Linked DNA regions of Pelodiscus sinensis. The protein of the gene in region 3 purifies or fractionates together with the protein of the main gene of each other region. This does not show direct contact. Links are inferred from orthologs where the notes say so. Each region holds a gene or a part of one and is shown on either strand. Other genes may lie near its edges.

Region 1 (3,742 bases), on a different chromosome or scaffold from region 3:
CGGGGTCACACCTAGCACCCCCCCCCCCGTGCCCTGGGCAGGGTCACACCTAGAACCCCCCCGTGCCCCGGGCAGGGTCACATGTAGCAGCCCCCCCCCGTGCCCCAGGGCAGGGTCACACCTAGAACCCCCCCCCGGTGCCCCGGGCAGGGTCACACGGAGCAGCCCCCCCCTGTGCCCCAGGGCAGGGGCACACCTAGAAACCCCCCCAGTGCCCCGGGCAGGGTCACACGTAGCAGCCCCCCCGTGCCCCGGGCAGGGTCACACCTAGAACCCCCCCGGGGCAGGGGCACACCTAGAACCCCCCTTGGTGCCCCAGGGCAGAGTCACACCTAGAACCCCCCTGGGCAGGGTCACACCTAGAACCCCCCCTCGGTGCCCCAGGGCAGAGTCACACCTAGAACCCCCCTGGGCAGGGTCACACCTAAAACCCCCCCGAGCCCCAGGGCAGGGTCACACCTAGAACCCCCCTGGGCAGGGTCACACCTAGAACCCCCCTCGGTGCCCCAGGGCAGGTCACACCTAGAACCCCCCCCCCCGAGCCCCAGGGCAGGGTCACACCTAGAACCCCCCCTCGGTGCCCCAGGGCAGGTCACACCTAGAACCCCCCCTCGGTGCCCCAGGGCAGGTCACACCTAGAACCCCCCCGAGCCCCAGGGCAGGTCACACCTAGAACCCCCCGAGCCCCAGGGCAGGTCACACCTAGAACCCCCCGTGCCCCAGGGCAGGGAGCGGCTCCCCATGGCCCCTGGGGGGGTTGCCAGGCTTGGAGCCCAGGACGCTCCCGGACCCCCGCTCCCCCCGCGGGGCAGAAGCTTTTGGTCTTTTCCCCGCCTGCTGGGCTCGTGCCCTGGGGGGTGCGGGGGGGGGGATCTCCGGGCCCTGCTGCCCCCGCCCGGGAGCGGGGGGAGGGGTGGAAGCGCTGGGGCACCACGTGGGGGGGGCTGGAAACCGCAGCGTCCCCCTGGGGGCGGGGCCCTGCGCTCCAACAGGGGGCAGGAACCTGGAGCTTTTGACCTCAGGGCGGGGGTTCAGGAAACTACATTTCCCGGCGGCCCGCGCGCTGGAAGGGGGCGGGGCCCGGACTCCGTTTCCCGGCGACCCGCGCGGTGGAAGGGGGCGTGGCCCGGACTCGGTTTCCGGGCGGCTCGCGCGGCCGGCAGGGGGCGGGGCTAGGCGGCGCATGCGCAGGCCGGCAGCCCCCGCCCCCCCCCCGTCCGGCCTCGCCATGAGCAGCGGCAGCGCCGGCCCCTCCCGGCCCCGGACCAGCTCGTTCGCCGACACCGCCTCGGGCGGGGCCCCCCCCGGCCCCGGAGCCCCCGCCCCGCCCGGGGCCCCCCCGGGGACAGCGCCGGGCGGCAAGGCGGGGGCGGCGGGGCCCGGGCCGGGGGGGGGCGGCGGGGCCTTCCCGCCGGGCCTGAAACTCGGCCGTGAGTGGGGGGGGCAGCGGGGGGGCCGGGCTGCGGGGGGGCCGGGGGGTCCCACGAGTGCAGCGCTGGGAGTCGAGGGCCCCGGGCGCTGTGGGGCGGGAGGCCGGAAGGGCTGGGGGGGGGGCGAGTGGCCCCGAGGGGAAGGTTTGGGGGGGGGGTGATTCCCGGGGGGGCTGAGCTGGGGGGGGGGCGGAACAGGGCGGTCAATGTTCCCTATAATTTTGTGATCCATGTGTGGAATAAATGCTGCTCTGCGCACCGAGGCCTGTGCGGATGGGCACCACCCTTAGAAACACAAACCCAGCTTTGGGCGCTTTGCTAAGCAGCTGGGAGGCTGCCCAAGTGCCCAGCTCCCAGGGAGCTCGGGGGGCAGAAGGGGCATCCATTGGAGGGCGGTTTGGGATTCCTGGGTGCATTGGGCTGGAAGAGTCGTTGGGGGTCTAGGGAGCCACTGTTTGGGGAAAGGGGGCTCTGGGGAGCTGGGGTGAAGCTAATGAAGGGCTGAGGTCAGGCTCTGCTCTTGGGTCACATTAGGAGCCAGGAGGCTGGTGAGTGGCTCTCTCATTAGATATGGACAGTACGTGTTGGGGTTCAGGGGCTTGGCTGAGCCCCCCGTCTGGACACCCCATCTCTCTGCGGGGGGGTACCTGGGGTGAGGATTGAGGCTTCTCCATAGGCATTGCAGAGGCCCCCTGGGGACTAGTTGAGCAGGAGGCGCCTGGGGTGGTCACTGCCTGCTGAGGACTGTCTGGAGCAGGAGAAGTGGTGGTGCTATGGGGAGGCTGTTGGGGTCAGTGTCTTTCGGACGGAGGGGAGATGTAGGGGTTGGGGCTGAGTGGTGTGGGCAGTGGAGAGAGGCCAGTGGCAGATGTGCCCTGGGGCTGGTGGGGGGTGGGGCATTCTGGCTCTCTAACCTGGACCCTGGGAAGATGGGATCATGGGGGAGAGGGGACCCTGGCTGAGTTTCTGCCCCCCCAGTCTCCAAGGTCAGGATTGTGGGCTTCCCTGGCCATGCCTCTAACTGCCCCCTCGACTCCAAGGGACAGCAGGAAGGGAGGTGGGGGTTGGGGGCATCTCTCCTGTGTTTCTAGCTCCTCCCTTGCCCATCCCTAGCCGGAAGGGCAGGGTGGGGGTAGGGGTGTCCCTGGCTGTATCTCCAACCCGCTCCCAGTCCCCAGGGGGCAGCAGGAGGGGCCGGGGTGGGTGTCCCTGGCTGTATCTCTAACCCGCTCCCCGTCCCCAGGGGGCAGCAGGAGGGGCTGGGGTGGGTGTCCCTGGCTGTATCTCTAACCCGCTCCCCGTCCCCAGGGGGCAGCAGGAGGGGCCGGGGTGGGTGTCCCTGGCTGTATCTCTAACCCGCTCCCAGTCCCCAGGGGGCAGCAGGAGGGGCTGGGGTGGGTGTCCCTGGCTGTATCTCTAACCTGCTCCCCGTCCCCAGGGGGCAGCAGGAGGGGCTGGGGTGGGTGTCCCTGGCTGTATCTCTAACCCGCTCCCCGTCCCCAGGGGGCAGCAGGAGGGGCCGGGGTGGGTGTCCCTGGCTGTATCTCTAACCCGCTCCCAGTCCCCAGGGGGCAGCAGGAGGGGCTGGGGTGGGTGTCCCTGGCTGTATCTCTAACCTGCTCCCAGTCCCCAGGGGGCAGCAGGAGGGGCTGGGGTGGGTGTCCCTGGCTGTATCTCTAACCCGCTCCCAGTCCCCAGGGGGCAGAGGAGGGGCTGGGGTGGGTGTCCCTGGCTGTATCTCTAACCTGCTCCCAGTCCCCAGGGGGCAGCAGGAGGGGCTGGGGTGGGTGTCCCTGGCTGTATCTCTAACCCGCTCCCAGTCCCCAGGGGGCAGCAGGAGGGGCTGGGGTGGGTGTCCCTGGCTGTATCTCTAACCTGCTCCCCGTCCCCAGGGGGCAGCAGGAGGGGCTGGGGTGGGTGTCCCTGGCTGTATCTCTAACCCGCTCCCCGTCCCCAGGGGGCAGCAGGAGGGGCTGGGGTGGGTGTCCCTGGCTGTATCTCTAACCCGCTCCCCGTCCCCAGGGGGCAGCAGGAGGGGCTGGGGTGGGTGTCCCTGGCTGTATCTCTAACCTGCTCCCAGTCCCCAGGGGGCAGCAGGAGGGGCTGGGGTGGGTGTCCCTGGCTGTATCTCTAACCCGCTCCCCGTCCCCAGGGGGCAGCAGGAGGGGCTGGGGTGGGTGTCCCTGGCTGTATCTCTAACCCACTCCCCGTCCCCAGGGGGCAGCAGGAGGGGCTGGGGTGGGTGTCCCTGGCTGTATCTCTAACCCACTCCCCGTCCCCAGGGGGCAGCAGGAGGGGCTGGGGTGGGTGTC
Region 2 (3,742 bases), on a different chromosome or scaffold from region 3:
AGACTCAAATATGGCTACAAATAGCCATTTGTGGGGGCTCTGAGGTACTGTAAGCTGCGCCTGTCCCTTTCTATACAAAATGTCACAGAAGAATCTCAGCCAAAGCATCCAAGAAGGGCACAGTTGCCAACTCTTGCAATTTTATCATGAGTCACATGATAGCTCATGTTTTTCCTTAAAGCTCCATCCAGCTCCGGCAGTCAAACAATTATGAGTTCTCAGTTTTCATGTTAAAAAGAAAGTGTAAGTTTCCACCCCTCCTAGGTGTTGTAAAAACACTTGACAATACAATTCCTGAAGACTTAAAAAAACAAACCCAGAAGTCAAATAAAGAGACCCAAGTTTATTATTTTTCATGATTTTAAGGTACTCGATTTGGGGGCGAGGAGCTTGCGCATCCTTGGGTTTGCAATATTTGTGTAGTTAGTGAACTGAAGTGTGGGGCTTGGCTACATGGGGACACTCGGTACAGTTAAAATGAAGCTATGACGTTAATGCTCGTTAAAACTCCTGTGTGGATGGTCTCATTCAGAAGCGGCCTTTGTTCACTGCAGCATTTGCCAGGGGTTGATTCACATTAACATCACGGATTCCAAAGGCAGAAGGGCCCGTTTTGACCTCTAGTCTGACCTCCTGTATAACACTGGCCACAGAAGTTTCCCACAATAATTACAGGACCAGATCTTTTAGAACATTCATTCAAGGATTCAAGCTTAATTGGCCTTAATTTTCCTGACAGTCCTGCATAGACACGCCTGGGAATTATTCACTCTCTAGGACATCCATTAAGGTGCCAGAGATGCACTGGGCTCAGTTGGATACTCCTTAATCTGGACATTCCCTTACATCTATGTCCAATGCAGCATCCAGCTAGGGTTAAAAATGCACCCTCCTTGTTCATGGCAGAGATGCCATCAAACGCACAATCCCCAGCCCATCTGACACCAAGATGGCACCACAACAGCCTACTACAGAACCAGGCAGTGGACATAACACTCATTGCACACTGTCCACCACAAAAAAAAAAAAAAAAAAAAAAGACCCCAGACACAAACTCCTACTTGCATCATACAGGATGAGACTGGATGTTTCTGTGGCATCCTGCATCAGATACAGTCCCAACTCCTGACTGACTTCACCTGAGCCAGACACATGGTGTTCAGGCTTCCAAGAGCATAAGCAAAGCAACAAACCTCCAGAAAGCCTGCTTCTTAGTTTCCAGATGGGTGAAACATCCTGTCTGCCTTGGATTGGATTTCTCGAATTACCACCCCAATGTTCTGCTTTGCAGAGACTTGGTGCCTGGGCCTCCCTGATGTCCTGGCTTGGAGAACTCCCGCTCTGTGCAAGCAAGGCAGAGGACACATCTCCCCTAGTCTACGGCCTTCTGTTGGTCTAGGCCTTGGGCTCTCCCTTACACCAACAGCCCTGCCTGCCATACCCAGCCAGGAAGACTGCTCTTGGGAAAAGAAAGCCTGCCCCTTTTCCAGGAGCTGCCCCCTCTCTGAACATGGGACCCAGGGAATCCCACCTCTCAGTGGTTAAAGGCCTCCTCTCCAGCCAGGGGGAAAGAGGAGGAAATCCCAGGGGCTGGTTGACTAAGTCCATTGCATGTGGCAGGGCCTAGTCATGTGGGGAGATACAAAAATAGCTCAATCTCCTTTCTCATTTCCCTTTTCTCTGCATCCCAAGCGCAGCCTCCCTGCTCTGCTCTGTGAGCGCCGCGCGAGGTGCCCTGGCTCTGCACCCGGGGACGGCGGGGGGGGGGGGGAGTGTCACTTACTTTGGCTGGAGGAGCCGCTCCCTTGGGCCACGCTCACACTCGCTTCTCCGCCTTTAATTCCATCTGGGGAGAAAACAGAATCCGACTCGTAAATGGTGTTGAGCATCGGATGTAGCCCTGGCATGGAGCCTGCTGCCGGAGCCCCGGGCCGGGGAGGGTCAGCGGGGCATCTCAGCCATCACAGCCCAGGCAGCGGGCGCTCAGCGCCGGGCTCGGCAACTCTCGCATCCAGGCAGCTGCTTCCTGCCGGAGGCTCCTTCAGCTGGAGGAGGGGCAGGGCGAAGGGGCTTCCCTGGGTGCCATGATCTCAGCCCCGCGGCAGCTCTCAGGGACCAGCGAGAAAGCGAACACCGCCCATCCCCGTGCGCTCCGCGCCGGGCTTCCCGCGGCCGATCCACCTGCGGCGGCCTCGCCCCAGCCCGGGCCAGGCGCAGAAATAGCTCGGGGTGGGGCTCGCCCCAAAATAGCCCGAGCGCAGAAGCCGGGCTCCGAGAGGGCAGGGAGGAGGAAAAAAAAGTTGCATTGTTTGCGAAGGAGGCTCGCGATTGGCCGGGCCGCAGCCAATGGCGAGCGAGCCAGGAAAGTTCGCTGTTGGAGCTCTAGCTCCATCCGCAGAGCGAGCCCAGAGCCCCGCCGGGCAGGTGGGAGCCCGCTGGATTCGCTCCCAGCACCTGCTGGGCCGGGGCTCCGGGCTCGCTCCGGCTCCCGGGGCTCTGCCCTCGCCCTCCTGAAAGAGCCTCTCTGTCCGCACCCACGTTGTACAAGGTAGGCTCTGGTGGTGCAACATCCTCCGAGGATCTGCGGGGCCAGATACATCTGGAGTCACTCGACGAGGCTGGCCCTCCTCCAGCGGCAGCCGCCCTGGAGTGTCATTTAGGGGGCGCCCATATGCCCCCCTCCCAACGTGGATGCCAGGCTTGTATAATTTGGGGTTGTGCCCAGAACAGGTCCAAGCAGCGCTGTTCTGTCCATAGGACAGGCCAGGGCAACCGCCCTGAGCCCCGTGATTTGGGGGGGCACTTCAGGGGGACACAGGGTCCAGGGTAGCCTGGGGGGATAACAGAGGCCTGGTGCTGGCAGCAGTGAGCAACCTCACTCCGCACCAGCTCCCTCCGCACCAGCTTTGCTAGGAAGAAGGGACAGAAACCAAAAAGAGGCAAAGTAGGGCTTGGGGCAAGAGTCAGGAAGAGGGGGAACAGGGGTTCACTGCTTCTGTTGCCAGGCCCTCTGCTAATCTCCTAGGCTGTCCTGGATCCCACATCCCCCAAAATGCAGGGCCTGAAATGTTTGTCCCGGTCCATCCAATGAACTTTGAAAATATAATACCAGACATTGGTAGAGACAGGCTCAAATTCCTGAATATTGGTGGAGCATGGCATCACAGGCCCATATAATATACCACCTATGCTCCCACAGTGCCAGCGGGACTCCAACAACAGAATAGCAATGGCAAGTCAGGATTCAGCTCTGAGCAGTCAGATGTGCTTCCCAGGACTGGCAAGTCTCACGATATCTGGTGTTTTCTAAAAGCCTCAACTTCTGGAGTGGGGTGATTATCTGACTTCTCTGCCCTGCTGCTTCGGGCCAGTATGAAGTAACTATCTGTCTTTTTGACTGCTTAGGGAAATTTGAAAACATGACACCTGAAAGATTCAACCTCTAGAAGGCAAATAAAATAACTTGAGGTTTATTTTTCATCTAATCATGAAGTGGAGGGGGGGGGGCAATGCACAGTTTGTGAATTCTTGGGACCACAGGACTGAATTAATACAGCCAGAGAGAAAACTGGGAGATTAGTAATCTATTTTCCAGACACTGCAAAGAGTGGGCCACTGAGATACCAGCCCCAGCTCCTCCCACAGCACCAGTTCCAGGAGCTGGAGAGATCTGGGTAGGACTATCAGAAGGCACTGTTGTGTATTCCCAAAGTCAGCCCCCCTCCCCCTCCACACATCAGTA
Region 3 (3,742 bases):
TAGCAAAGTTTGACAATATTCAGAGTCTGATCAACCTCTTTCATTTAACTTAAGTCATCTGTATGTAGCATTTGCACATCTCCCTGAGGGAGAGTCAGATTTTTGGTCACTTCAGGGGAAACAAGTACTATTGCTAAGCCAATGAGAAATACACAAAATATTTACTATAATAACTACAGATTTCAAAATTCCCTTTTATCATTTGAATGCTATTCCTATCCACTTCTAAATCAGATTAACAGCACTATTTGTTACAATGGCTGTTTAACCACTGTTCCCTTTTTGAGTGCATTAATTTTATAGCCAGTGTATCTCCAGAGACAAAAGAAAACTGAAGAGAAAGTTAACACTGCATGAATCACTCAAGAAAGCAGGTCAACTGGTTTTGAACCTCTCCCACATGGAAGTTGATATAATGAAGGGGAAGAGGGAGAAGTAGAATGTGTAGCAGGCACTGGAAATACTTTGCAGGTTTTTATAAAGCTGTGAATTACTGTAATACTGCTATTCTTCAATGTGGCACATTTATAAGATCTGATCTATTCAGTTAACACTATTCTAAGAAGTGGATGACAGTATCCAGTCAGATCAGCATATCAAGAAAATCTCACAAGTTTAAAAGGAGGACTTTGCCTCACCCACTCTTTATGATGACAGTTTTCCTTGATAAACCTGCTCTAGCCCAGGGCAGCAGGCACTTAATTTGTAAAACTAAGTTACCTTACAAATGACAGCAACTAACACACAGAAGTAACAAATGCTAGCTACCCAGCCACAGTTACACAACCCTATTTTTTAAACCCTGAATTAGAACCGCATAACCAGATGAAAGTCTTGAGTTCTGTAGAGACACTTCCAAAAAAAAAAAAAAAAAAATCTTGCTTACATGCCTTAAAAGTAGAAATAGCTCAAGTCAAAAAGCTTAGGACACTTGAGGCAATAGGAAATAGTTGAAGCCACTCTGAGTTGGCTACAAGATGTAGATTCTACTGAAGTCATGAAGCACAAGTTGTGCAGTAAATTAACATTAACTGTTGTGTCAGAGCAACCTCTATAGCCAGCCTACAAGTCTCTTCAGTTCTACATTTTTGAAGACTGTTTGTATTAAAAAATGGCAGTCAAACACTAGGCTCCTCAAATCAAAGTATACATTTAACAGTATATTAATGCAATTTATAGAATGGTGAAATTTCAGGGTGTTCAGCTCTTAAAGCTGATTTGGGTATCTAAAATTTTATTTTTCAACAGCGCCAAGCATCCAGCATCTGCCATTGATGCCAATGGGATCCACAGACTAGTGTCTTTAGATAAAGATTTTAACTGCCTAAGACAAGTGTGTTAAATTTGTAGGCATTCAACACATTACTAGTTAACTAACAGAATCTAAGGTGGGTAACTTGGCCAAATAGGACTTCACATGCCAGCCCAAAGGAGATAAATCCTAATACAGAATACAAGCAACTTTAAGATCAGAGGAAGCGGTCCTGTTCATTCGGGACAGTTTCTAATCTGAGCCTACTATACTCTCAGAGTCCCCATTTTACTGAAACCCCTCCTTGACTTCCTTCCACCGACCTCAGCATACCAGCCCAGCCTCTTTCCAGTCACCACTTGCATACTTGGGGGAGGGGAGGACCACAGATGTCTGGAAGATAGGAAGCACGGGAACAAGAGACGACCCACACAGAAGAGATCAAGAAAATACAGCCAGCGTTTACAACTGATTCAGTGTTGCTATCCCCCCCCAAAAAAATCTCCCTACGCAGTTAGCATTGCATAGAAGGGCTTTTCCTCCAAAAATCGTACGGAAAGCCACCTTTTCACTTAAAAAAAAAAAAAAAGAGTAGAGACACTACCAGTGGTTTTTTTTTAGTGTATCAAGTTTCTTTTAAGGAAAGAGCCAAGAAACAAAATTAAGATTTCTGATTTGTTTTAAGGCATCGCTGTCCCAAGAATGGCCAGTGTTTTTAATAAATCGTTAAGACTTCAGTTTGGGCAAAAAGCCCGAAACTATGAACGTAAAAGATGCCTGAACTTTTATTTTTAAGTTTTACATAAGCCGGGGGGGGGGGGGGGGAAGAGGAGAGAAGAAGAGTGCAAGTCTGGTCGCCTCCCCTCAGAAGGATCAGCTCTCTCCCACAACACGCTGCATATTCGGAAATGGCCTAATCCAAAGCCAGCAAGTTCCCCTCCCCCGGTAGGAAAGCCTCAAGACACCTCGCTCTTTCTTTAGAGAGACTCCAGCTAGTTGGGTTGTTTTAAACTCGCTCGGGCTACACCCCGCTCCGCAGCAGCCACTACTCAAAACACCCCACAGCGGCAGGGACACCACCAGGCGCCTCTCCCGCAAGCACAACACGCAGCGGAGACAAAAGCCCAGAGCGCAACAGATAACAGCGGCCGCAGTCCAGCAGCACGTTCGTTAGACTTACACCGTCCAAACAAACCCGAACCCGCTTCCCTCCCCCACAGCCGCCCGCTCCCGGAGCCGCGCCGGAACGCCCGCCACAGAGCGCGGAGCCCCCGGGACCGGCCTCCCACCCCAGCGCCCGGCTGCAAACAACGCGCCTCCCGCCACCCCGGCCAGCGGTCCGGCAGCCTCCCGCGAGGCGCCTCAGCTGCCGCCCCGGCCACTCAAGTGTCCGGACCGCCCCGAGCCAGTGCCCCGTGTCCGAGTGACCCCCCCCCCTCCCACGCTCCGGCCAGGCCCAGCGCGGGCCTCCCGCCCGGGCAACCCCCCCCCCCCAGCCTCCCACCCCCGCACAGCCCGGAGCGAGGCTCCCGCACGCCCGGCTCCCCCGCCGGGCTAAGGGAGGGAAGCGGGAAATGAGCAGAAAGCGCCACTGACACCGCGGGGAGGCAAGAGCGCAAGGTCCCGCAGCCCTGGTCTCCGGCCGCCGCCGCCTCCGGTCGGTCGCCGCCGGACACTCCCCTGCCGCTGCCGCCGAACCAAGCGAGAGGCTTAAAATGGCGTCGCTCGCAAGGAGGTTCTTATAGGGCGCGCGAGGCGAGGCTGTATCCTGCCGCCGCTGCCGGGCTCGGCGCGCAGCATTCCACAGGCACCCAAGCGCCCGGGCAGGGGGAGGAGAAATAGTGCCCGGCTCCCTGGGCGGAGGGAGACAAAGGGCAGCTGTGCGCCACCCGCCGAAGGTAGCTCGCCCCTGCGGAGGGCGCTGGGGGGAGGCGGGCGGAGTTGCACAAGGGGGAGGGGGTGGGGAGTCTGGGAACACAGGCGGGAGCGGGGGCGCTGTGGAGAACAAGGCAGGATGGGAGCAGTGATCCAGCCGAGAGGGAGGTGTGATGAGGCCAGGATGGGGAGGGGCGGCGGAGACACCTTCTTCGGGAGGTTGGGACGAGGCTGGTTCCTTCCTGCCTGGGAGAGAAGTTGCTGCTGGGGGAACAGCACCAGCGTGTTGTTCTTAAAGGGGCAGTAACCACTTGGCAAGGGATCAGCTGCTGGTTCCTCTCAACCCCTCCCCCCCCAACGAATTAGGAGTTACGGACCGGGCTGAGGGATTTTTACACTCCCCTAGCTATCGAAAGTGGCGTCGTGTTTCCCCCAAGGCTTGCTGCGGAGCGCAGAGCTAATAGCAAGCCCTCTGCGCCTTTGCGTTTCCCGCACCGCTGATTAAACTTTCTGATTTGCAACAGGGAACAAAAAATGATCGTTTCCGAAAGCGGCTTGCAAAACACAACAACGACGGCCCCTCCCCGTCCCGCTCACACTGTGCCCGGCTGGAGG

What was found.
Region 1: the proteins of CTNNB1 (region 3) and GSK3A purify together in Homo sapiens (affinity purification with mass spectrometry; 3 studies listed by BioGRID and IntAct, with this or other methods). This does not show direct contact. The link is inferred for Pelodiscus sinensis from reciprocal best matches to the Homo sapiens genes CTNNB1 and GSK3A.
Region 2: the proteins of CTNNB1 (region 3) and HDAC7 purify together in Homo sapiens (affinity purification with western blotting; 5 studies listed by BioGRID, with this or other methods). This does not show direct contact. The link is inferred for Pelodiscus sinensis from reciprocal best matches to the Homo sapiens genes CTNNB1 and HDAC7.

What each region holds. Positions count from the first base shown.
Region 1 is NW_027465888.1:163,411-167,152, reverse strand, and holds the start of GSK3A (glycogen synthase kinase-3 alpha), read left to right. Parts: upstream 1-1,213; 5' UTR 1,214-1,228; coding exon 1,229-1,430; intron 1,431-3,742. UniProt on the Homo sapiens protein: Constitutively active protein kinase that acts as a negative regulator in the hormonal control of glucose homeostasis, Wnt signaling and regulation of transcription factors and microtubules, by phosphorylating and inactivating glycogen synthase (GYS1 or GYS2), CTNNB1/beta-catenin, APC and AXIN1.
Region 2 is NC_134729.1:7,944,338-7,948,079, forward strand, and holds the start of HDAC7 (histone deacetylase 7), read right to left. Parts: upstream 2,296-3,742; 5' UTR 1,908-2,295; coding exon 1,784-1,907; intron 1-1,783. UniProt on the Homo sapiens protein: Responsible for the deacetylation of lysine residues on the N-terminal part of the core histones (H2A, H2B, H3 and H4).
Region 3 is NC_134712.1:177,510,976-177,514,717, forward strand, and holds the start of CTNNB1 (catenin beta-1), read right to left. Parts: upstream 2,882-3,742; 5' UTR 2,849-2,881; intron 1-2,848. UniProt on the Homo sapiens protein: Key downstream component of the canonical Wnt signaling pathway.